Pelodiscus sinensis: one gene and its partners. The main gene of each other region encodes a partner of the protein of the gene in region 2 in a complex. Links are inferred from orthologs where the notes say so. Each region holds a gene or a part of one and is shown on either strand. Other genes may lie near its edges.

Region 1 (7,709 bases), on a different chromosome or scaffold from region 2:
ACCCCAGCCCTGGGGAGCAGCTGCTGGCTGGCAGCATAGCCTCTGCCACCCTGGCCTGCACCAACTCAGTTGATAATCAACTGGCAGTACACAGTATTACTGTATTATGAAAGTGTATCGAGTGAGGTCTTTTCTGAAAGCTAAGGACACAGTGGTGATTAATCATGTGAAACGTACGTATGAACACTGTCAGAAATTATGGCTACACATTTATATTAGGCTATACAGTTTGCCCAGACAGCAGAGAATGGCACAGACAGCTAACTACCTGTCTCCTGTGTAAATCAAGAATGGTGGAAACAACCAGTGGAAACCCTATTTATCTTCAGGGGGGCGGGAAGCCCACAGAGAGGAAAGAACAGCAGGAAGTCATCCTGCCTCTGGAAACATTGCTGAACTTTGCAAACTATAAGGAAAGGCACAAGTCACCTTTGGTGTCCATCACAAGACAGACCTATGAAAATGGAGCTTGTGTGAGCTGAGAGAGAGGTCCTTCAACTAAAGGGCAGGGGTGGAGTCTGGAAATTGAATATAGGCGAGAAACCTGTTTAGGCAAAGATTGTACCTGGCTAGATTAAGTTTGGGATTTTTAGAAGCAGGTTTTGTTTTACTCGTGACTCTATTTTAATGTCTTATATGTGAACTGACTTACTCCTCTGTCTATTTTGTAAATAAATGCACTTTCCTCTTACCACAACCCAACTCAGCCCTGTGTTTAAGGGAAGGGTGTATTTACCCCCAGTTCAATTAGGAAGCTGTTGGTGCAGTTTTATCTCTTTTCTGGAGCAATGAACTTCATTATTTCTCTGAGCTGGAGAGGGCTGGACATTTCAGGGCATATCGTTTGGGGGAAATTAAAGACTAGGGCTGTGTTGGGGTCATCTTGCTAGTTGTAAATAAGGCTGATGGAGCTCAGTGTGTAGCTGGATCTGCTGCTGGCCTGGGCCTATAGTTCCACACAGAGTGTGGTCTATGTGCTGGTAAGCTGGTTGTGAGTAGCCCAGGTTGGGAGCTACAGCAGCAAAGCAGGGAGGAACAGGACAGGCACGTCACTGGCATGGACTGCACCCTGAACTGCCCAGGCCATCAGAGATGGAAACAATGCAGGACACCAATTAACAACCAGTGAACTGAGTGGTTTCCATATGAAACTGGACATAGGGAATCCCCAAGTCTAAGTTCCTAATGGAGTCCTGCAGCAATCTGTTCTCGGCCCTGTGCTATTTGAACACAATCCGAACAGAATGAAAATCATCCCTGATAAAGTTTGAAGCTGACATCAAAGTTGAACGGGTGGCTCATACAGAGCGATCCAGATTGCTGAGGTGAATGGACATAAGCAAACACTTTGCATGTTAGTACTGCTAGCTTTAAACGTCTGCCTGTAGGAACAAAGATTGTCCGCTGTATTTACAGGTGCGGGGACTCTTGAAAACAATTTTTTTTGGGGGGGAAGGGGGATAATCAGCTGAGCATCAGCTCCCAGGGTGATGCAGTGATCAAAGGGGCTCATGCGATCCCAGGGTGCCTGAACAGGATAATCTTGAGTTGTGTAGAGAGGTTATTTTTCCTCCATTTGGGACTGGTGTTCCAGCAGCTAGAATCCTATGGCCAGTTCTGCCATCCATGATTCAAGAAGGATGTTGATAAACTGCAGAGGGTTCGGAGTAGGGATGTCAAATCCCATTTAATCGGTTAACCCACATGGGGCTGCCCCACGCAGGAGCCTGGTGAGGCTAGAACAGTCCTCCTCCTGCAACAGGCTGCTCCCAGGTATCAGTTAACTGTTACTCAGTAAGCATCACCCGTTAACGGCAATGCATGCCGGATAACTGGTTAACCTGTTACCTGTCACATCCCTATTTCAGAGAAGAGCTATGGGAATGATGAAAGGCTTATAGAATATGCCTTACAGAGAGAGACTCAAAGAGCTCAGTCTACAAAGAGACAAAGGATGAGTGGATGACAGTCTATAATTATCTAGCTACATGGGGATCCAGTTCTGAATAATGGGCTCTTTAATCTAGCAGAGAGGTCCAATATTTAATCAATGAGCGGAAGTGAAAACTAGACCAATTCAGACTGTAGATAGGCATAACTTTTTATCAGTGGCAATTAATCACTGGAACAGTTTACAAACAGCCATGGTGGATTCTCTGTCACTGACAGCTTTAAAATCCAGATGGGCTGTTTTTCTAAAAGCTCTGCTCTAGGAATTATTGGGGAGCAGTTCTCTGACCTGTGATATGGGAGGTCAGGCTAGATAATCACAGTGGTTCCTTCTGGCCTTGGAATCTATGAATGTAACTCATGTTCTCTTTGCAGTTTTAGATCAATACAAGAGCCATCTTGACTTCCTGTCCTGCAGTGTTGCTGCTACGCAGCTGCCCGTGTTCTACACTAGCTATGGAGAGGTGAATGATTTATTCTTTTCTCTGGTCCTAGAGCATACGGGGGATCCTTTCCAATTGAACGTTGCTATAATAACCTGAATTGAGATATTTCTGCTTCAAGTGTTGTAGCTGTGGACAGTAGCCCAAGACAGTAGAGACAGGGTGGGTGAAGTAATATCCTTTATTGAACTAACTCCTGTAGATGAGACAGCCAAGCTTTTGAACTACACAGAGCTTGTCTCTCATCAACAGATGTTAGTCCATAGAAGGTAATATCTTACCCACCTTGTGTCTCCGGAAAAGGAGAAGCTAGTGACCAAGCATACCTCTTTCCCCAGCTCTGCACACTGTAGAAAGAAAGTTCCTTGTTTTCAGGTTATGTCTGGAGCCAGTCCCGGCTGCCGTGGAGGAATGTTCTAGGGACCATCCAGCAAATGAGCAACCCCAGCCGCATCAGAACCCCAATGCCTGAGCTACAGGGGGACAAGGGCAGCTCTCTGGTCTGGTGTCAGTCACACGGCTCACAGCTCAGTGACTCAGACACAGCAGCGGTGAGATAATCACCTGCTAAAAATAATGAATTGAGGAATACATCTCTGGCCTCAAAATCGGTTGGGTTTTTTTTTAACCTAATTTTCTGTGCTGCTGATGTCACGTCCATTCATTATCTAAATGAATCACCATGCCCCCATTCCCGTTCCTCACATGCCAATGAAGAATCTAGTGCTCAGTATTTACTGGGGGACCTAGCTATTCAAGGTGACTTTCAAAGCTGCCTGAATTTGGGATGTAAAATCCCATTTGATTAGTCAATTGGTTAAAAGTTAAGTTTAACTGGTTAACTGATTAAACAGGAGCAGAAAAGATAAGAAGTCCTGTGGCATCTTAGGGTGCGTCTATGCAGCATCCTTCTGTCAGCATAAGCTACGCAATTTGCACATCTTATTCCGAGTCTAGATTAAAAGAGTTTATTTTGAAATGTGGTGCAGTGTAGACAATGCCAAATTTCAAAATAAGGCACTATTCCCACAAATCCCTTAAACCTCGTGGAACAAGGGTTATAAGGACACCGGAATAGCGTGCCTGCTATTTCGGGAAAGGGCGGGTGCCGGGTGGGGTGGTGGGTGCAGGGCACTGTGCATTTGTGCTGGCTTGAGGGCTGCGGTGCAGTGATGGGGCGCAGGGCCTGGGGGCGTAGAGTGCAGTGATGGGGCTCAGGGTGGGGCGCAGGGCGGGCTCTGGCTCTAGGGGAGTGGTGATGGGGTGCAGGGCCTGGGGGTTTGGGGTGGGACGCAGGGCGGGCTCTGGCCCTAGGGAAGCAGTGATGGGGCGCAGGCCCCGGGGGCTCGGGGTGGGGCGGGCTCTGGCCCTAGGGGAGCAGTGATGGGGAGCAGTGATGGGGCACAGGCCCTGGGGGCGCAGGGCGGGCGCTGGGTGCAGTGATGGGGCGCAGCGCCTGGGGACTCGGGGTGGGGCGCGGGGCGGGCGCTGGGTGGGGTGATGGGGCGCAGGCCCCGGGGGCTTGAGGTGGGGTGCTGGCCCTAGGGGAGCAGTGATGGGGCGCAGGGCCCGGGGGCTCGGGGTGGGACGCAGGGCGGGCGGGCTCTGGCCCTAGGGGAGCAGTGATGGGACGCAGGGCCTGGGGGCTCGGGGTGGGGTGCAGGGTGGGCGCTGGGTGGGGTGATGGGGCGCAGGCCCTGGGGGCGCTGGGTGGAGTGATGGGGTGCAGGGCCTGGGGGCTTAGAGTGCAGTGATGGGGCGCAGGGCTCAGGGTGCAGTGATGGGGCTCGGGGTGGGGCGCAGGGCGAGCTCTGGCCCTACGAGAGCAGTGATGGGGCGCAGGCCCTAGGGGAGCAGTGATGGGGCACAGGGCCTGGGGGCTCGGGGTGGGGCGCTGGGCGGGCGCTGGGTGGGGTGATGGGGCGCAGGGCGGGCGCTGGGTGGGGTGATGGGGCGCAGGCCCTAGGGGAGCAGTGATGGGGCGCAGGGCCTGGGGGCGCTGGGTGGGGTGATGGGGCGCAGGCCCTAGGGGAGCAGTGATGGGGAGCAGTGATGGGGCGCAGGGCCTGGGGGCTCGGGGTGGGGCGCAGGGCGGGCGCTGGGTGGGGTGATGGGGTGCAGGGCCTGGGGGCTTAGAGTGCAGTGATGGGGCTGGGGATGGGGCGCAGGCCCTAGGGGCGCGGGGCGGGCGGGGGCAGCACGTGCCGGGTGGCGATCAGGGGCCGGGCTGGCCACGTGCCCGCGCCCCTCGCTCCTCTGCCCCGTAGGGCTCGATCCGGCCCGCGCGCGCGCCTCTCCCCCCCCAGCGAGGAGCGCGCGGCTCCGCCCCGGGGCGGGGCTTACTGCTGGGCCGGGCGCGCGCCACCCTTCCGGAGCGCCCGGGAACTGCGCGTGCGCGAGAGCTGGGCTGAGCAGCCACCGCCATGAAGTAGGTCGGGGCTGCCTGGGGCGGGGGGGCAGCACAGGGGATACTGGAGTGTGGGGGGGCTGGGTGGGGATATGGGGGCAGGGAGCAGCATAGGGGATACTGGAGTGTGGGGGGGCTGGGTGGGGATATGGGGGCAGGGAGCAGCATAGGGGATACTGGAGTGTGGGGGGGCTGGGTGGGGATATGGGGGCAGGGAGCAGCATAGGGGATACTGGAGTGTGGGGGGGCTGGGTGGGGATATGGGGGGCGGGGGGGCAGCACAGGGGATACTGGAGTGTGGGGGGGCTGGGTGGGGATATGGGGGGCAGGGGCAGCACAGGGGATACTGGAGTGTGGGGGGGCTGGGTGGGGATATGGGGGGCAGGGGCAGCACAGGGGATACTGGAGTGTGGGGGGGCTGGGTGGGGATATGGGGGGCGGGGGGGCAGCACAGGGGATACTGGAGGTGTGGGGGGGGCTGCCTGGGGATATGTGGAGGGGCTGAGAGTGGGAGGAGGCATTGGACAGGGCGAGGTCCCTACCTTGGTAACTGTTTGGCCTTTGCACTGCAGCCCCCTGACGAAGGTGAAACTGATCAATGAGCTGAATGAGCGGGAGGCAGAGCTGGGCGTACAGGAGAAGGTGTCCTGGCATGCAGAGTACAGTGATAGCGCCTGGATCTTTGTGGGTATGTGATTTGTGCAGCAGTCTTGGTGCTGGTTCCCCCAGGTTCTGTATCATGAGCCCTGTGTGTCAGTCTATTTCCCTGTTGCTGCGTGCTGTAACAATATTAGCCCTCCCAGGTTCATATTTTGGTCTAGGGATGTAAAATCCTGTTTAAAAAGGTAACCAGTTAGCTTTTGATGTGAAAATGCGAATGTTTAAGGCAGCTATGAATGGGACACATACAGTCCACTTAATTAGCTTCATTAACATGGGTCCTGCAATTGATAAGTGGTATTTCTGCTGTTTATATATATCTTGGATTCTATTATTTCCACTCCAACTCATCTGATAAAGTGGGTCTTGCCCACAAAAGCTCATGATACTATATATTTTTGTTAGTCTCTAAAGTGACACAGGACTACTGGTCATTTTTAAGTTAAAATAGAAGTTCTGTAGAACTTCATCAGTATTATGAAATGGTTCTGATTAAATCAAGTGACTTAAAACTTTGAAGAATTGTCGCTTAGGCTATGTCTACACTGCAGGGTTTTTGTGCAAGAAGTCTTTTGCAGAAGAATCCTTGCACAAAAACTTCTTGAGCAAAAGCGCGTCCACACCTCAAAGCACATCCACACTGCATGGATGCTCTTGCACAAGAAAGCTCTGATTGTCATTCACAGAATGGCCATCAGAGCACCTGTGCTTTTTTGGATAGGCTCTTTTTGCACAAGAAACTCCGATGGAGCGTCCACAGATGCCTTTTTGCGAAACAGCTGTAGTGCAAAAAGGAGCTATGCCTTGTAGAAGGAGGTTTACCTACACCACAAAAAACCCTCTGTTCTGTCGATTGACTGTAGATTTTCTTGCGCAAAAACGCGCTTGAGATGTGGCCGCTCTGCGGGTTTTTACGCAAAAACCTTGTAGTGTAGACGTACCTTAGAGTGTGGGAGTCAAGAGAGGCATATTGGGTTGAGGGGGACAGGCATGATAATCTGCAAGGCCAAGGATAAGAGCTGTACTGCAGTCCTGTTGAGCCTGAGCAGCATTAACATTTGTGTCTTCTTCCCAGGAGGTCTCCCCTATGAGTTGACAGAAGGTGATATCATTTGCGTGTTTTCACAGTAAGTCGAATTTCATTCTTCATTCTCAGTAGTTTAGTAAGGTCGTAGCATGAGGCCAAACAGTTGGTGTTTAAGCCTTGATATTGGATGACACATGGCCTCTTGTGACATCCCCCCACCTCAGTCACTGCAGGAGAAATCTCGAGGGCTGGTGGCTTTTCCTTCTCTATTACACTTTTCTTAGTAGTTTTTCATGGAATTGTCATTTCCCTCGCCTTTGGTGTCTTGTGACTTCACTTTTTTCTTTCTAGATATGGAGAAATTGTGAACATTAATCTGGTGCGAGATAAAAAGACTGGAAAATCGAAAGGTTTCTGCTTTATCTGCTATGAAGATCAGAGAAGCACCGTACTTGCTGTTGACAACTTTAATGGGATCAAGGTTGGTATGTGAAAGAAAAGAGACCAGCCTTTAAGTGAAGTCCTGTTTGTGCCCAGGTTGGCTGCTAGTGTGTGGCTATTATTTGCTATGACCTTAGGGCTCCCAAAGCTTCAGTTCACCATTCTTTCCACATCCAAGGGTGCGCAGTTAAAAGCATTTGTGTCCGCAGAGGGAATTACAGCAGTATATTAGTGCCACAAGAGAAGTGATGTAGATATGACCCATGGGATGGATCCAACCTTCAGAGATGTTCTGGTACCATTTGATTTCAGGATGTGTTCATGTGAATGCTCTGTGACTAGCACTTCTGTGGCCGCCTTTTTCATGGAGATAGTTATGCCCTGTTTGTTTTTTAGTTTGCACATTTTTTGTACTACTGATGAGATAGATTTTATTTTTTAAGAATGGATTTGGGGATATTAGACCCATGACAGAGGCGTGGGGTGTAGAGTTATCCTTTGGTAATCTGTGGGTGATATTAGTTAGTGGTTGATGATTTGCGCTTTGGTTAGGATTATAATACGCAGGGCTCGACAAATAATGCAATTGACTCGCCCGAGGCGAATAGATTACAACCCGGAAGAGCCGGGTGCGGGCGATCTGCGCATGCGCAGATTGCCAGACAGTGCAGCTGGCGAGCAGGGCTCGCCGCGGTTTGGCGAGCCCTGATAATACGTATGTTTGTATTTTAACCATTTTTATACGACATATTTACCTTAGAATAGTTAAATATACAGTTGT
Region 2 (6,893 bases):
TATTCTATAAACAGATGCCCATGCTTAACTTCAAGCATAGGGATGTCGATGAGCAGATGACTATATGATTAAGTAATAAGCCTGGGCTTATTAGTTAATCCTTTTGACTACATGTATTCCCCCCACTTTAGAGACAGTGGAATATGGGGGGGGGGGGAGAACGGGAGCTGGCTTTAAGCAGGCACCTCATGAGCACTGGATCCGCCTCCTCCCTCCCACCCCCACACTGCTGCCTTGCACAGAGGGTGAGGGGGCAGAGGGGAGCCAGTATGCATGGGGAGCAGGCTGTTAGGCTGGCTATCCACAGACCCATCTGCCTCTTCCCACTCTTGCTGCCTCCTACAGCGCTCTGTGGAGTCACCTGCTCAGCCACCTGGAGGAGCGGGTGTCACAGAAGAAGCTACCACAAAGCAGCCTCTCCACAGTGGACCTAGGCTCACTGCAAATGGAGGCTGCTCTGCAGCAGTGGCCCCTATCTGCGGGAGGTCCAAGCTCTCTGTGAACAAAGAGAGCTCAGCCCCCCTGCAGACAGGGGCTGCTGTCAGTGTTCCCTCTAATCTGCTCTGCAGCATATCTTTACAGGTGATTAATCATCCCCACCCATTCAGTCAGCTCCCTGAGCCTGGGTAGAGCTTATTAATCACCTATGAAGCTGTGCTTAGAGGGAACACTGACTGCTGCCACCAAGTGCTGCTGCCTCTAATAGTCCCTGGGGACTATCAAATAGTCATGCAACCACTGGAATTTGATGTAGTTATACAACTATTCAAATTACTCACTAACATCCCTATTCAAGCACATAAAGTTGCAGGAGCTGGACCTTAATATATATGCAAAAATTTGTTGATACTCTTTTGAAAATCCACTCTACCTCCTCAGACACATACACTCACTGGAGTCTCTGCTACCTCTCCTCATTTAGAGACCCATCATTTCTGTGAAACTATTCAGTGCCTAATTAACTTCTTGATATTATTGGTAAGATTTTTCTCAACTATTGACAAAAGATTCATTGGTTATCTGGGATCTTATTTATGTATATGAAAGAAGTTACAAAAAGGAGAAATTATGAAATGGGTATTGTAGTTGGTTCTTCCCTCCCCTGATAATACAGGTTGAACATCTCTTATCTAGCACATTTGGGACCTAACCAATCCTGAACTAGGGAGGTTGCCAGACTAGAAAAGTTTCCTACCATAGCCCCCAGCCGCCGACTCTGCCAGCTGGGGATTTAGGGGGGGGTGGGGGGGGGGGGGAACGGGTATGGAGGACTACCTCCAGCCCGACAGGGCTGCCTGCTGGGTTGCTGGCCCTGCTGCCCCGGCCAGACTGCCTGCTGCTGTCCCAGTCTTGCGCTGCCAGGTGCTACCCTGACCAATCCCAGTGCCACAGGCTATCAGAAACTGCTGGCTCCAGCTCCACTGCTGTGGGCTGCTGCCAGCCCTAACCTCTGCCCCATCCCATTGCTTCAGCCCTGCTCCTCCTGGATTACCCTCCTGCCACTAGGCTACCAGAGTTCTCTGATGAAGGAACTTCCATGGTCTGGCTGGACCAGAGAATTCCAGTTTTGGGAGGTGCAACCAGTATGATTTTTATTATGATCTGCCAGAAATTGCTTAGCACAGAATTAGAAACTGCAACTAAAGTATTTAATATTGCAAATTTTCAGACTGTTTTAGGCTGACTATTAAGGAATTGAAGAGTTCTGTCCATCTACAAATGTAATACATCCACTACATAACTTACTAAATAATCTATTTTGATAATTACCTTATCAAAACTTCACCAAGGTGTCCAGACAATGCACCATCTATGTATTCTTCTGTGTTTGCAAGCTTTAAGGAACAAAACATTAGCACAATTGTTTGAAGAAAATTCTCAGCCAGCAATCAATAAACTATTGTCAGGCTAAAGACATTCTACAAGGACTACTGGGCCCTTTGGGAAACTGGGTCTGTTTAATAGTAACTTGTACCTCATTAGAACTCTTTGTTTTTATTATGCATGTAGCTCATTATATTTCACTTTTCATTGAAGAATCTGACCAGAAGAGTGTGCCATATATAGCAAAATATGGTCTGTTGCTTTAGAACTAGTCTACAAACCAAACTTTGTGTAAATCCTTTTCATCAGTTCTCAAGCCAATCATACCTTCATGTTGGAGATGCTGCTGCCCTGCACAGAGCACTGCAGGAGCAAGGGTGTAGGTGGCTCCACATAGAACTAGGCAGTGCAGAAGCAGTAAGATCTGGGTCTACTTCTGCCAGGTCTTCTTTGATAGCAGGCAAGTCACTCACCTCTGATGCCCTCGACCCCGCTATGAGGCCCCTGAACAACCCTCACGCCGCAAAGGGGACCCCGTGTCCCCTTTTGAACAACCTTGTCATAGGCACCCCCCGACTCCCCACGGAACGGAGTTGCCAACTCTCCCGAAAGGTAGGACCGGACACCATTTGCGGCAATGGCATCCGGTCCGGGAGAGCTGGCAACCCCACACGCCCACGTTTGAGCCGCCCCCGTCTCCCCCCGAACTCCTTCCGCAAGCCCAGGCTGCGCGAGGGGGCGGGTCTCCCGGAGCCCTTGGGGCCAACGGGGGAGGGGGGGCGCGTCCCGGCTCCAACTGACCTGCATGTTCATGTAGCCATCGACGGACACCAGGTAGCCCTTGTACTCCATCCCCCACTTCAGCTTCACCATCACCGGCTTCCCCGTCAGCCCGTTCAGGAAGGGCTTGGGGTTCAGGGGCAAGCTCTGCGAGTCACCACAACAGCGGGGTCAGCGCGAGCGCGGCCAGGGCTCCCCCGGCACCTGCCGCCCCTCACCCACCCCAGGGCGCCCCCCCCCCCGGCAATCCCACCCGCCTCGCGGCGCGGCCCCCCTCACCATGGCAACGCGGCCTGGCACAAGGCAGCGCTGAAAACAAAAATTACTCGCTGGGCCGCACGTGCGCCCGCCGGAGTCCGAGAGAAAGCCAGGAAGTGACGTCCGCTCCTTCGCTTCCGGGAGTGCGCGCTGACCTCCCGCCTTTTGCCCGCCCACGAAAGCCTGAATCCCGTTGGGCCCGGGGGCTAGCGCGCGAACGGAAAAGTCGGGTGCTGAGTGGCTAGACCGAACGACGGGGCGTGGCTAGTGACGCAACCCTCGCGGAGCTAGAAGGCCACGCCCCTTCCCTTGCATAGGGGCTTCTTGTAGCAGCTGGTTTTCCCTACCGTAATCCTCTGTGTGCGCGGGCTGGAGTTCGATTTGCGCTTTTTTAGGGACTTTATGATGGGGGAGCAGAGGAGGGAGCCAGAGTGTCTTCTAGGGCCCAGGGAGGAGCCAAGCACGTGGCGCCCATTGCAGAGTCAGGGGCCGGTGTAGTGGTTCCCAATCTTTTTAATGCTGCGGACCCACAAACCTGTTCACAAACTTTTGGTGGGTTGGTAATATTTTATTGGCCTATTTGCATATTTATTATGCTAATTAATTTAAGAGGTCATGTGTTATTTTACATCGCATAAGCATGCACACAATACACGTCATTGGAAGAGATCAGAGTTTGCAGTTATCTACAACACTAAAAATTCTCTAAAAGAATCCTTTCTTATCTTGAGTGATTAACACCTATGTAAACTTTCTTTGAAATGTAATTATGCCCAGGAAATCTCATGATACCACTTACACTTTTTGTTAGTCTCTAAAGTGCTGCAGGACTATTTGTTGTTTTTTAAGTTTTTTTCTATTACAGTGTAACTTGGCTGCCCCTCTGAAACTTTTGGACATGCAAATGTCATGAGGTAGGCCTTTTGTTTTGCCTGCTGCCCAGAGGGAAAGAAGTTAGACACCCTAAACTCTCTCCTATCCCCACCACACTGAACTAGTCCCCACCTCTAGAAAGAGGGAGTCACATAGGCCCCCCCCCCCCAGTCTCCATGTCCCACATGTGAACTGGGCAGAGCAACTGCAGCCTACCTGGGACCCCTGGAGAAGGTAGAAGCTGCTGCAGCATGAGAAGCCAGGATGCTCCCACCTGCCTCTAGGACCAGGGGACGCACATGGGACAGGTGGGAAGGTCTCACATCCCCACAGCGAGCCTCTGTCAGTAGCCAAGGCCCTCTGACCATCCCTCCGCAGCTTCCCCAGCAACAGTTTGGTCCGTCCCACCCTGGCCATGCCGCTGCTCCATACTAGAGGAGAGGAGCTGAAGTAAACACTCGGCTGCGGGGGCAGAGCCATGGCAGCTAATGCTCTGTGGGGCAGGCGAGGTATTGCAAGCCAGCCTCCTGTTCTCTTCTCCCCAGGTAGCCCCTGCCTGTCAAGGCATGGGGATGGCCTGGCAGTGTGCCACAGCCTGGCAGCCAACGGTTCATGGCCTGGCACTGGTCCACGGACTGGTGGTTGGGAACCACTGCTTTAATGTACTTACAGTGACCCCCATTACTGCAGCCTAATGACACCTCAGAAGTCATCCTCTGTAATGCATTCACCTGGCTGCATCCATGCTGCTAGGGATGGAGTGAGGGTTTTTCTTGCGCAAGAAGGGGCAGTGTAGACAGCTCCTTCTGGCGCAAGAGCCTCTTCCGCAAAAAAGGCGGCTCATTAGGTATGCAAATGAGGCTCAGCGATATTCCATGCTTAGCCTCATTTGCATATTTCTTACGCAAGAACCCACCAGTGTAGACATAGCCCTAGTGTCATCCTGACCCAGTGCACAGAGCTGCTCCACGCAGTCCTGTGACTTTGATGATTTATTCATAGACTTTTTCATGCCCCATTATTTTTCCAGTTCTGGCCAGAGCAGGCAAGTGCCTCCCAAACAGTACTAAATTTATTTTGTTCTTTTTGGTTTTGAAAACTACTGAACTATTTTGCCTACAAATATTTCCAAATAAATAATAAATTCATTACTGAGCTGAGAATGAGCCTGTTACATTTGAGCAAAAAAAAATTATTTTTTTTAATGAAAGGTCATTGCAGGATTGGGGGTAAAGTGGTCATTGCCCCCAACTTAGAACTTCATTTTTTATATTTCTGGATGACATGAAATTCGTCCACTGAAACTGATCCAGACATTAAAAGATATTCCTCCACCCCCCACTCTCCTTGTCTGTAATAACCTGGGAACTCACAGGGTTACAAATCTGCAAACCAGATTCAGCCTCATCCTAGGATGCGTCTACACCCTTAGCTCAAAATAAGATGTGCAATTTGTGCAATGCAATTTGCGCTACGCAATTTGCGTATCGTATTTAGATTCTTATTTAGTCTTTTTTTCAAAATAGGCTATTTCAAAATTTGGCACATCTACAGGTGCCAAATTTCTAAATAAAACACTATTTCAAGACATTCCTTATCTCTCATGCAAACAGGTTTACAGGGATGCTGAAATAGTATGTCTGCTATATTTCGCAATAGCGGACACATTCAAAAGACCCGGGGATAGCTATTTCCCCCAAATAGCATTGCAGTGTAGACATACCCCTAGAAGTGAATGTAGTGTGAGTGTATATATTTATCCACAAGGTGGCATTGCTTATCTTGCACAAGGACTGTCTGGAGATGTACGGGGTAGCCTTCTGGTACAAAACTCTTTTATATTCTTCATATAAAGCCAGCAAAGCACAGTGGCCTGGATTTCTGTATAACAGAGTAATTGATAGGGCAGGATGTTTTAATTAATATGAGCATACCATTATAAAAACTAAAACTGGGGAAAAAGCCATCTAATCTGTGTCCGTGCTGGTGCATGATTAGAAGCTGCAGTAAAGTTTTAATTCTCAGACAGTAGAACTACTACTACTTCTCTTGGCAATAGAATTCATAGAATGCCTTTCCTAACTTGGTTACACTTAATGAACTTTAGGTATACAGGCAGTCCCCGACTTACGCGGATCCGACTTATGTCGGATCCGCACTTACGAATGGGGCTTTTCTCGCCCCGGAGCTCACGGGCGGCGAGTCGCCACCCGTGTCCTCCGGGGTGAGAAAAGCTTCTCCCGGTCTCCCTGGTCTGCTGGGGGGGGGTCCAGCAAAGCCGCTGGACCCCCCCAGCAGACCAGGGACACCCAAGCAAAGCCGCTGCCTGGGCGGCTTTGCTTGTTTGCCCGGGCGCAAAGCCGCCCAGGCGGCGGGACCCCCGCTGCCTGGGCGGCTTTGCTTCTGTCCCCCTGGTCTGCTGGGGGGGGTCCAGCAAAGCCGCTGGATCCCCCCAGCAGACCAGGGACACCTGAGCAAAGCCGCCGCCTGGGTCCCTCCGCCTGTGCGGCTTTGCTCGGGTCTCCCTGGTCTGCTGGGGGGGGAGGGGGCGCAGCTAGTGTGCCCCCCCCCCCCAGCAGACCAGGCTTTTGTTGCGGGACGCCTCGGGTAGAGCAGCTGGGGTGCTGCCGGGTTGGTCCTGTGGGAACCTACCGGGCGGCGCCCCAGCTGTTCTGTTCCAGGCTCCAGATTCAGCAGCTGTTGAAACTGATCAGGCTGATTCCAGGAAGCTGGGGGCAGAGCAACTCTGCCTCCGGCTTCCTGTAGTCAGCCCCTGGTCAGTTTCAGTGGCAGCAGCTGAATCTGGAGCCAGTTCCGACTTACATACAAATTCAACTTAAGAACAAACCTATAGTCCCTATCTTGTACGTAACCCAGGGACTGCCTGTATTGCTGCAGTTATAACTCCTAACTCCTTTCATCCCTAATGAATATTGAGTTTGTAACATTTAAGTAATCCATGTGTTAGCACAGCAGTCTCATAGCGGGATTTGATCAGACAAGTACTTCCCCCAATATATAAATAAGTTATTTTGAGACTGAGGCTACTGTACACAGTAAGTATGATTTTCTTCCACTTAATATTCAATATATTCAGCTTTTTGTGTGCAAAATGAGTATATTCAGAAAACAATTATAGTTCCAAGTAGCGTCCATTC
Region 3 (6,860 bases), on a different chromosome or scaffold from region 2:
TACAAATTCAATTTAAGAACAAACCTACAGTCCCTATCTTGTACGTAACCCGGGGACTGCCTGTATTTAGAAAGCTAACTGTTGCACTCTTCTGTTTAGCATCTGTAATTGCAGTTGCTATGTTTGGATGGTTAATAGCTCGGTGCAATGGTTGTTTATACAAAACCTCTGTGTTGCTACATGGCTAGATGTATTCCTCATCAAATAATCCCCAGAGATTGAGGAGTAGAAATGACACAAGGTAGTCTGGATAAAACATGGTGTTGTTGCAGTTAAAGCTGCATAAGAACGTATCTTCTAAACAGCTCTTTTCAGTCATTTATTAACTTTTTTTTTTTTTTGCCATCTGGCTGAATTGTTTAGGCTAGTGAACAATGTGTATGCACTTTAAAGTTCCTCATCAATTCAGTAAACCATTTTAGGTAAAGAAAATGTGTGAGGTCTTACTCTATGGCAAGCAGACTGGGAGTAAGGGTCAGGCTTTGAGCCTAAATTAAATTAAAGCTGTTTCTCAGCCTGTTTGGGGGTAGTCTGTAAAAACTGTCAACAGGTTTGCAAAGCATTGCTCCCTTATTATCTTCTAACACATGATCAAGATGCATATTTCAATTGGCTACAGCTTTTCATTCAAAGGAGTCCTGTTCTGTCAGGGTGCCAGGGGAAGTTCACTCACTAGAGGGGTTCCCAATGTTACCTCTAATTCTTCCCACCTCTAGTGAAGTGAAATTTGTTGCATGCACCAATATAGAGGTAATGTTTAACACATCACCTTCATATTGGTACACATAACAAAATTCATGGAGTCAAGGGGTTCTGAGTGTGGTAGGGGCTCAGGCCTGGAGCAGAAAATTGGGGTGCAGGAGGGATTTGGCTGAGGGTATGGATTCTCGTATGGAGCTGAATCTGAGGGGTTCAGGCTTATATCAGAGGATTGGAGTGCAGGGATGTGAGGTCTCTGGCTGGGGGTGCAGACTCTGGGGCTGGGTTAAGGATGATAATTTTGGGATGCAAGAGGGAACTCCAGCTTTGGGAAGGGTTGGTGTACAGGAGGGGGTACAGGCTCTGGACTGGAGGCATGGGCTTTGAAGTGGGGCTGGGAATGAGGTGTTTGAGGTGTAGGAGGTGGCTCCAAGTTGGAAGGACTCTGTGTGGTGTAGAGTGTTGAGTGATGGGCTTACATGGAGGCTCCTGGTCAGCAGCACAAAGGCAGGCTGCCTGATGCCTGCCTGCCTCGGGCATCACACTGTGCCCCAGAAATGGTCATCAGCTCCAATTCATGAGGAAAGTGGCAAGAGGCTCCACCATGCGTGCTGCTGTTGCCCACATACACTGCCTGCCCCCAGCTCCCATTGGCTGGTTCCCAGTCAATGAGAGTGCAGTTCCAGTGCTCAATGCATAGAATCGTTTATCCTCTGCCGAGGAGCTGAACCTGATGATGGCTTCCCTGCTGGCCAAGGGTGGTGTTTCAAGAGAGCATGGGGTGTGTGTGGAGGGGGAGGAGGGCAGCAGCTGTGCATACCAAGACACAGCTTGCTTTTCTTCCAGTTCCCCTGATGATAAGGGAACGAAGGGAAAGTACTTGGATTCCATGCATGCCTCTCAATCCTGGCTGGTGAAGGAAGGGGGCAGAGGAGTAATTCACGGAATGCAAGCACTTTCCCCTCATTCCCTTATCATCAGGGGAACAGGAAGAAAAGCAAGCTGTGTCCCAGTACACCCAGCTGCTGCCCCATTTCGCTCTCCCAAAAATGGCACCCTTGCTGCTACCCATGGCTTCTTCCTAATGGGATTCAGTGAGTGGCGCTTCCCTGCCAGCTGTGGCTGCTTCGTGCTGGGGCCAGTAGGGAGGGGGCCTTTGTCCCATCCACCACAGCTCCCTGCTCCAGCAAGTAAGGTAGAGCACCTCTCCCCTATCTGTGGTAGCTTTGGGGTTTGGGTAGAGGCATCTCTTTTCGCTGCCATCCTCAGCGCCTGTGCAGGTCTTAATGGGATGATGAGTGGCCGTCCCACAGCTCAGATAGAACAATGCTTTCAGTAACTCTGGTGTTTGAAACTAGAAAGGACTCTCCTGAAAGTTATGCTGCCCTATATACAGGGCTCACCGCCAGTGGCTTGCTCCATCTATCCCCAGCTGCCTCAACACCCAAAACATGCTGTGAATGCTGTGTCACCACAAAAGGTGCTGTTGGTGCTTGATGAACCAGGCTCATCTAAAATCAATGGCCCTAAACCATACAAGCTTACTTAGAGATGCTGCAACAATATTTATAGTGGAAGGCCAAAGTTGTCCTTAGCAGTTCTGGTGTCCTACACAGCCCCCCGTGGGGGACACTCTGTAGTAGGGGCAGTCCATCAATGAGGGTAGGCAGGAGCAGGGCAGCCAGGCAGGGAAGCAACAGAGGTTGGGCCCACCCCCACACTCACAAGCAGCAGCAAGAAGTGGAGAGACCCAGACCCAGCCCAACTGCTGGTTCCCACATCTTGCGCAAGTGTTCTTGTGCAAGAACACGTTCACAATGCCATGTGCAAGATGTGCTTTTGCACAAGAGCATCCATGGCAGTGTGGATGCTCTCTTGCGCATGAAAGCTCTGATGGCCATTTTAGCCAAAGGGCTATCTTGCGGAAGAAACCCCTGCCAAGCATCCACACTGCCCTCTTGTGCAAGAGAGCTTACACCTGTTAGAAAAGAGCATAGCTCTGGCACAAGAAGTCCTCTCCTACCACGCTTTACTGTAAATCTTCTTGCGCAAGAGCAGATGGGCAGTGTGGATGCTCTGTGGAAGAACGGCTGATCATGTGCAATAACCCGCCAGTGTAGCTATAGCCTTGTTGTCCTGGGAAGGGGTTTAGGAAAAAGGGTGAAACTAACTCTGAACTTGCTGGTGGTGGTGGAAAGCAGTGTGATGTGGTTGGAAGCTAGTGGAGTGGAGCAGGCTGCAGCTGGATCACTCTGCTTCCTGCTGCCACCAGTGAGTATGGGGCTGGTCCTGATCCCTGCTACCAACACTAGGCCCCCGTTTAGTCTCCTAGCCCACTTTGCTCAGGGGTTGGGGTGGAATGGAGGCGAGGAGGGAGCAGAGCAGGGTGGTGTGGGTGCAGCAAAGCAGTGGTGGGGCTTCCGGAAAGGGTGGGGTGGGCTCCACACACTACCTTCCACATCCTAATGACTTAACCAACGGAGGTGCTAATTGTTTTTATCAGCCTCTTGTAACTTGAACAATCTGTTCACTGTCATTTTTCTCTTTTTCTTCCTCCCTTTTCCCTTATTTATTCTTGGCTCTGGACTTTTATTGGATCTATTGCAGGCATCTAAAGAAGTGTGTTGTACCCACAGAAACTCATGATACCATCTACATATTTTGTTAAGTCTTTAAGGTGCTACTAGACTATTTGTTTTGATTAAGTTTTACCCAATTTAGAGACAGCTCTGCTGTGCTCAGGCCACAGGCAGGGGGTGGTGATGAGCCTGGCCACCAGTGCCTGCAAAGCTGCTGAAGGTAATTTGGGGGGTACCCTTGCAGCTGTGCATTTTGCAGACTGGTAGCCTTGCGGGGTGCTGAGAGCTACTCAACCAAACTATAAAGCCTGTATAGAGCCCCCCCTGCATCCTCACGCCAGCACCTAGCGCCGCGCATCTTTTGCAGGGAGCCAGAAACACTTCATCCTTCCGCAGCTCTCAGCGCCCCCGGCACCTCCCCCCGCTGCACTGGGCATCGGGGGGGGGGGGGAGGAAGGAATCGAACCCCCGGCTCCCAAAGCAGCGCGAGCCGCCTCCGCCGGGGAGGGGCCGGGCCTCCCACGCCCGTTAGGTCCGTTGCTCCTCCCGCCTTCTTCCTAGTGCCTCCCGCCCCCTCAGCGCTACAGTGCCGCGCGTGTGCGCGCGCATGTCTCAGCGCGTCAGTTCCGGGGCAGCCGGGCAGGCGCCGGAAGTAGTTCCATAGGAGAGCGGACCGGACAGCGCGGCCGGTTTCCTGCTGGGGGAGCGGGCACCATGGTGGAGGTGAGAGACCGGCCCCGCCCCCGAAACTCCAGCACCCGGGCCCGGGGCTTGCCGTTGCCGGAGCGAGGAGCTCGCGGCCTGAACAACGCGCGCACGCGGGGGGCGGGGGGATTTCGGCCTCCCCTGTGTCAGCGATTAGCTCCGCGCCGCGTTCCCGATACGCCCCCTGCGGGGTCTGTGCCCTCGGGACGGGGGGAGCCGCGTTCCTGCAGAAAAGGTTTTAAACCTGCGGGAAAGGTGTCGCCGTCTCTGCCGCTTGGCGGTAACGTGAGCACCCTCCTGCCGCCCTGTCAGCCCTAAACCCGACAGCCGCTCTCCGGCACTGGGCCTCTGCTGGCTTTACCAAGGGGCTTGACCAGTAGCAAAGGGTATGGCGCGGCGTAGGGGACTGTTGATTACCCTCCCTCCCCATGTGTCTCACCAAAATTTTAATTGCTACATGGGATGTCCCCTCCCCCGCAGCCAGTATTTGCCCCTGTGGTGCTGCGTTTATATGGAGGTCTGGCAGGTAAAACTGGACAGAAAACCATCAGACTAATTTCTTTTATTATCTGATTACATGGCCTGTTAGGTGCCATAGATCTCAAAGTACTTTACAAAAGCAAGTGGCATTAGCATCAAACAATAGGAATTGCAGTGTTCAGTCAGACCAGACCAGCAGATTATCTTGTTAATTATGTTTTAAAATTATATTTAGGCTCTGTAGAACTATAATTTTGTTATACCAATTAGTAATATCCATTTTCATTTGTAAGCTTTTTCCAATTTTTAGAATTTAAATGTTCATGCTTCTTGGAAACTATTGATGGAGGCTCAGACTATTGAATGACAATAGATGTTGATTCAAAAAGTTAAAAGTTTGATAACTGTTCAAACACAAATTGTCAACCTCACATGTCAAAATATAGGAAATAAATATCCTTCAATCACTCAACAATAAATTCTTGAGTAGCTTTTTTTCTCCTGACTCGCTTTATTGGTTATTTATAAAAATGTAGCTGGCAAGTGTAAATAAAAACCTTTTTTGTTTGTCTTCATTAAATTCACTTATGTGCCTACAGTTGGAAATAAAATGTTGATCAAAGTTTTGTCCTGCTAGATTTTTTTTCTCACAGTATCCCATGAAAGGAAAAAATAATTAAGTGGTGATTTAAGTTTGAGGATGGGGAAAATGAAACTGTCTCTTACACCAAATTATAGTTTTTACCACTCAAGCACCACTGCATACACTAAACTGAGTTCGTTTCTTACATATGGAAGACAAGAATCATTAATTTTCTTGGTAGTTTTCAGGCTTTTCATTGAATTATCATATATATAATTAAACCATATATATAATTAAATGTATCTCCTCTGCTGCAGGAGGTGCAAAAACACTCTGTGCACACATTAGTGTTCAGATCCTTGAAGAGAACTCATGATATGTTTGTGGCTGATAATGGAAAGCCTATACCATTGGATGATGTAAGGTAAGAACAACTATCATAAAATTATTGGTATGTCTAAAAACATTAATGTGAGGCCCTCCTTTGCAACTGTTTCCAGTTTCTTTGCTTTCATTTAATTTTTTTGTATTTGGTCCAGTTTAGATTTCATTATAAACTAAAAATTAATTTTGGAAACTATATTTGGTGCTTCTAAAATAAAATACTGATTCTGGGGACAGGCAACTGCTGTTGGAAATTGACATTTAGTAGTCCAGAAACTGACAAGAATGTCATTTTCAGTCAGCCATTGTTGTAGCTCCCAAGGTCTGTAGCTCTCAGGCGGCCCTCCCTGAAGACCACCCTGCCCAATGATCTCAGGGCTTCCAGATTACTAGCCAGCAGCTAGTCAGAGTCCGGAAGCTGAGAGATTCTTGATCCCAGGGCAGTCTTCATGGTGAGGCTGTCCTAGATACACAGAGTGTGGAAGTCAGTATCAGGACTTCCAGGCTCCTAGCTTCATAGCAGGGAGTCTTGAAATCCAGGCTGAAGCTAAGGTTCCCAGGGCTTATAGATTCTCTGCTGTGGAGCTAGGAGTCTTATCTTCTGAAAGCCTGTCTGGTTGGGTTGGGAGCTTGCAAGGCTGACTGGCTGGCTGTCAGTTCAGTGGCAAGGACTTTAATAGCTTTGTCGTAGAGCAGTGGTCCCCAACGCGGTGCCCGCGGGCGCCATGGCACCCGCTGGGGCATTCGTGTGCGCCTGCCAACAACTTGGGCTGGCCCTGCCCCCGGTGCACTGGAGGCCCTGGCCCGCGACATGCACCGGCGCTGGGTGCGCGGCGCTCGGGCGGCCCCAGCCCTGGGGCACGTGCGGGCGCTCGGGCACGCGGTACTCGAGCAGCGCTGGTGCCAGCTCCAGGCGCGTGGCTTGGGTGGCAGCGCCAGCCCCGGGCCCACGGCACAAAGCGCTTGGGCAGCCCCAGCCCCGGCCCTAGGGCACACACCGGCACCGGGTGCAAGGGCATCCCAGTCCCCTGACGTGCCCCAGGACGCGCGGCCCCGCTCCCGGGCGCCTGGCGCGTGAGTGGCCCCCACCTCCCGGGTGCCCAGCGCGTGAGTGGCCCCACCTCCCGGGCGCCCCGGAGCCTCTAAAGGTTGGGGACCACTGTCGTAGAGGGATTGCCATGGAAATGTGAACTAGGGATGTAAAATCCCATTTAGTTGATTAACTGTAATGTGTAACTGATTAACCTATTAAAGGTGAGGCTGCCAGGGGACTGCTTTAGCCTGTTTGTGGACTCCCCCACCCCTGACGTGGACAGAGGCTGGTCTGGGCAGTCTGGAGTGCCCCATCTGAAACAGCCCCCCTATGCGCAGTGGGCGGGGAGCAGCTCCAACCCTCACTGGTTAACCAAAACCAGTAAGCCTCACCCATT

Evidence for each region. The genes of interacting proteins can lie anywhere in the genome.
Region 1: SNRPF (region 2) and RBMX2 share a complex: the UniProt entries of both Homo sapiens proteins name them as parts of the minor spliceosome. The link is inferred for Pelodiscus sinensis from reciprocal best matches to the Homo sapiens genes SNRPF and RBMX2.
Region 3: SNRPF (region 2) and PLRG1 share a complex: the UniProt entries of both Homo sapiens proteins name them as parts of the minor spliceosome. The link is inferred for Pelodiscus sinensis from reciprocal best matches to the Homo sapiens genes SNRPF and PLRG1.

What each region holds. Positions count from the first base shown.
Region 1 is NC_134723.1:2,297,798-2,305,506, forward strand, and holds the start of RBMX2 (RNA-binding motif protein, X-linked 2), read left to right. Parts: upstream 1-4,693; 5' UTR 4,694-4,816; coding exon 4,817-4,821; intron 4,822-5,372; coding exon 5,373-5,488; intron 5,489-6,535; coding exon 6,536-6,587; intron 6,588-6,838; coding exon 6,839-6,968; intron 6,969-7,709. UniProt on the Homo sapiens protein: Involved in pre-mRNA splicing as component of the activated spliceosome. As a component of the minor spliceosome, involved in the splicing of U12-type introns in pre-mRNAs.
Region 2 is NC_134711.1:81,493,945-81,500,837, reverse strand, and holds the start of SNRPF (small nuclear ribonucleoprotein F), read right to left. Parts: upstream 3,018-6,893; 5' UTR 2,887-3,017; coding exon 2,884-2,886; intron 2,752-2,883; coding exon 2,626-2,751; intron 1,836-2,625; coding exon 1,771-1,835; intron 1-1,770. UniProt on the Homo sapiens protein: Plays a role in pre-mRNA splicing as a core component of the spliceosomal U1, U2, U4 and U5 small nuclear ribonucleoproteins (snRNPs), the building blocks of the spliceosome.
Region 3 is NC_134715.1:56,845,411-56,852,270, reverse strand, and holds the start of PLRG1 (pleiotropic regulator 1), read left to right. Parts: upstream 1-3,844; 5' UTR 3,845-3,992; coding exon 3,993-4,001; intron 4,002-5,363; coding exon 5,364-5,470; intron 5,471-6,860. UniProt on the Homo sapiens protein: Involved in pre-mRNA splicing as component of the spliceosome. Component of the PRP19-CDC5L complex that forms an integral part of the spliceosome and is required for activating pre-mRNA splicing.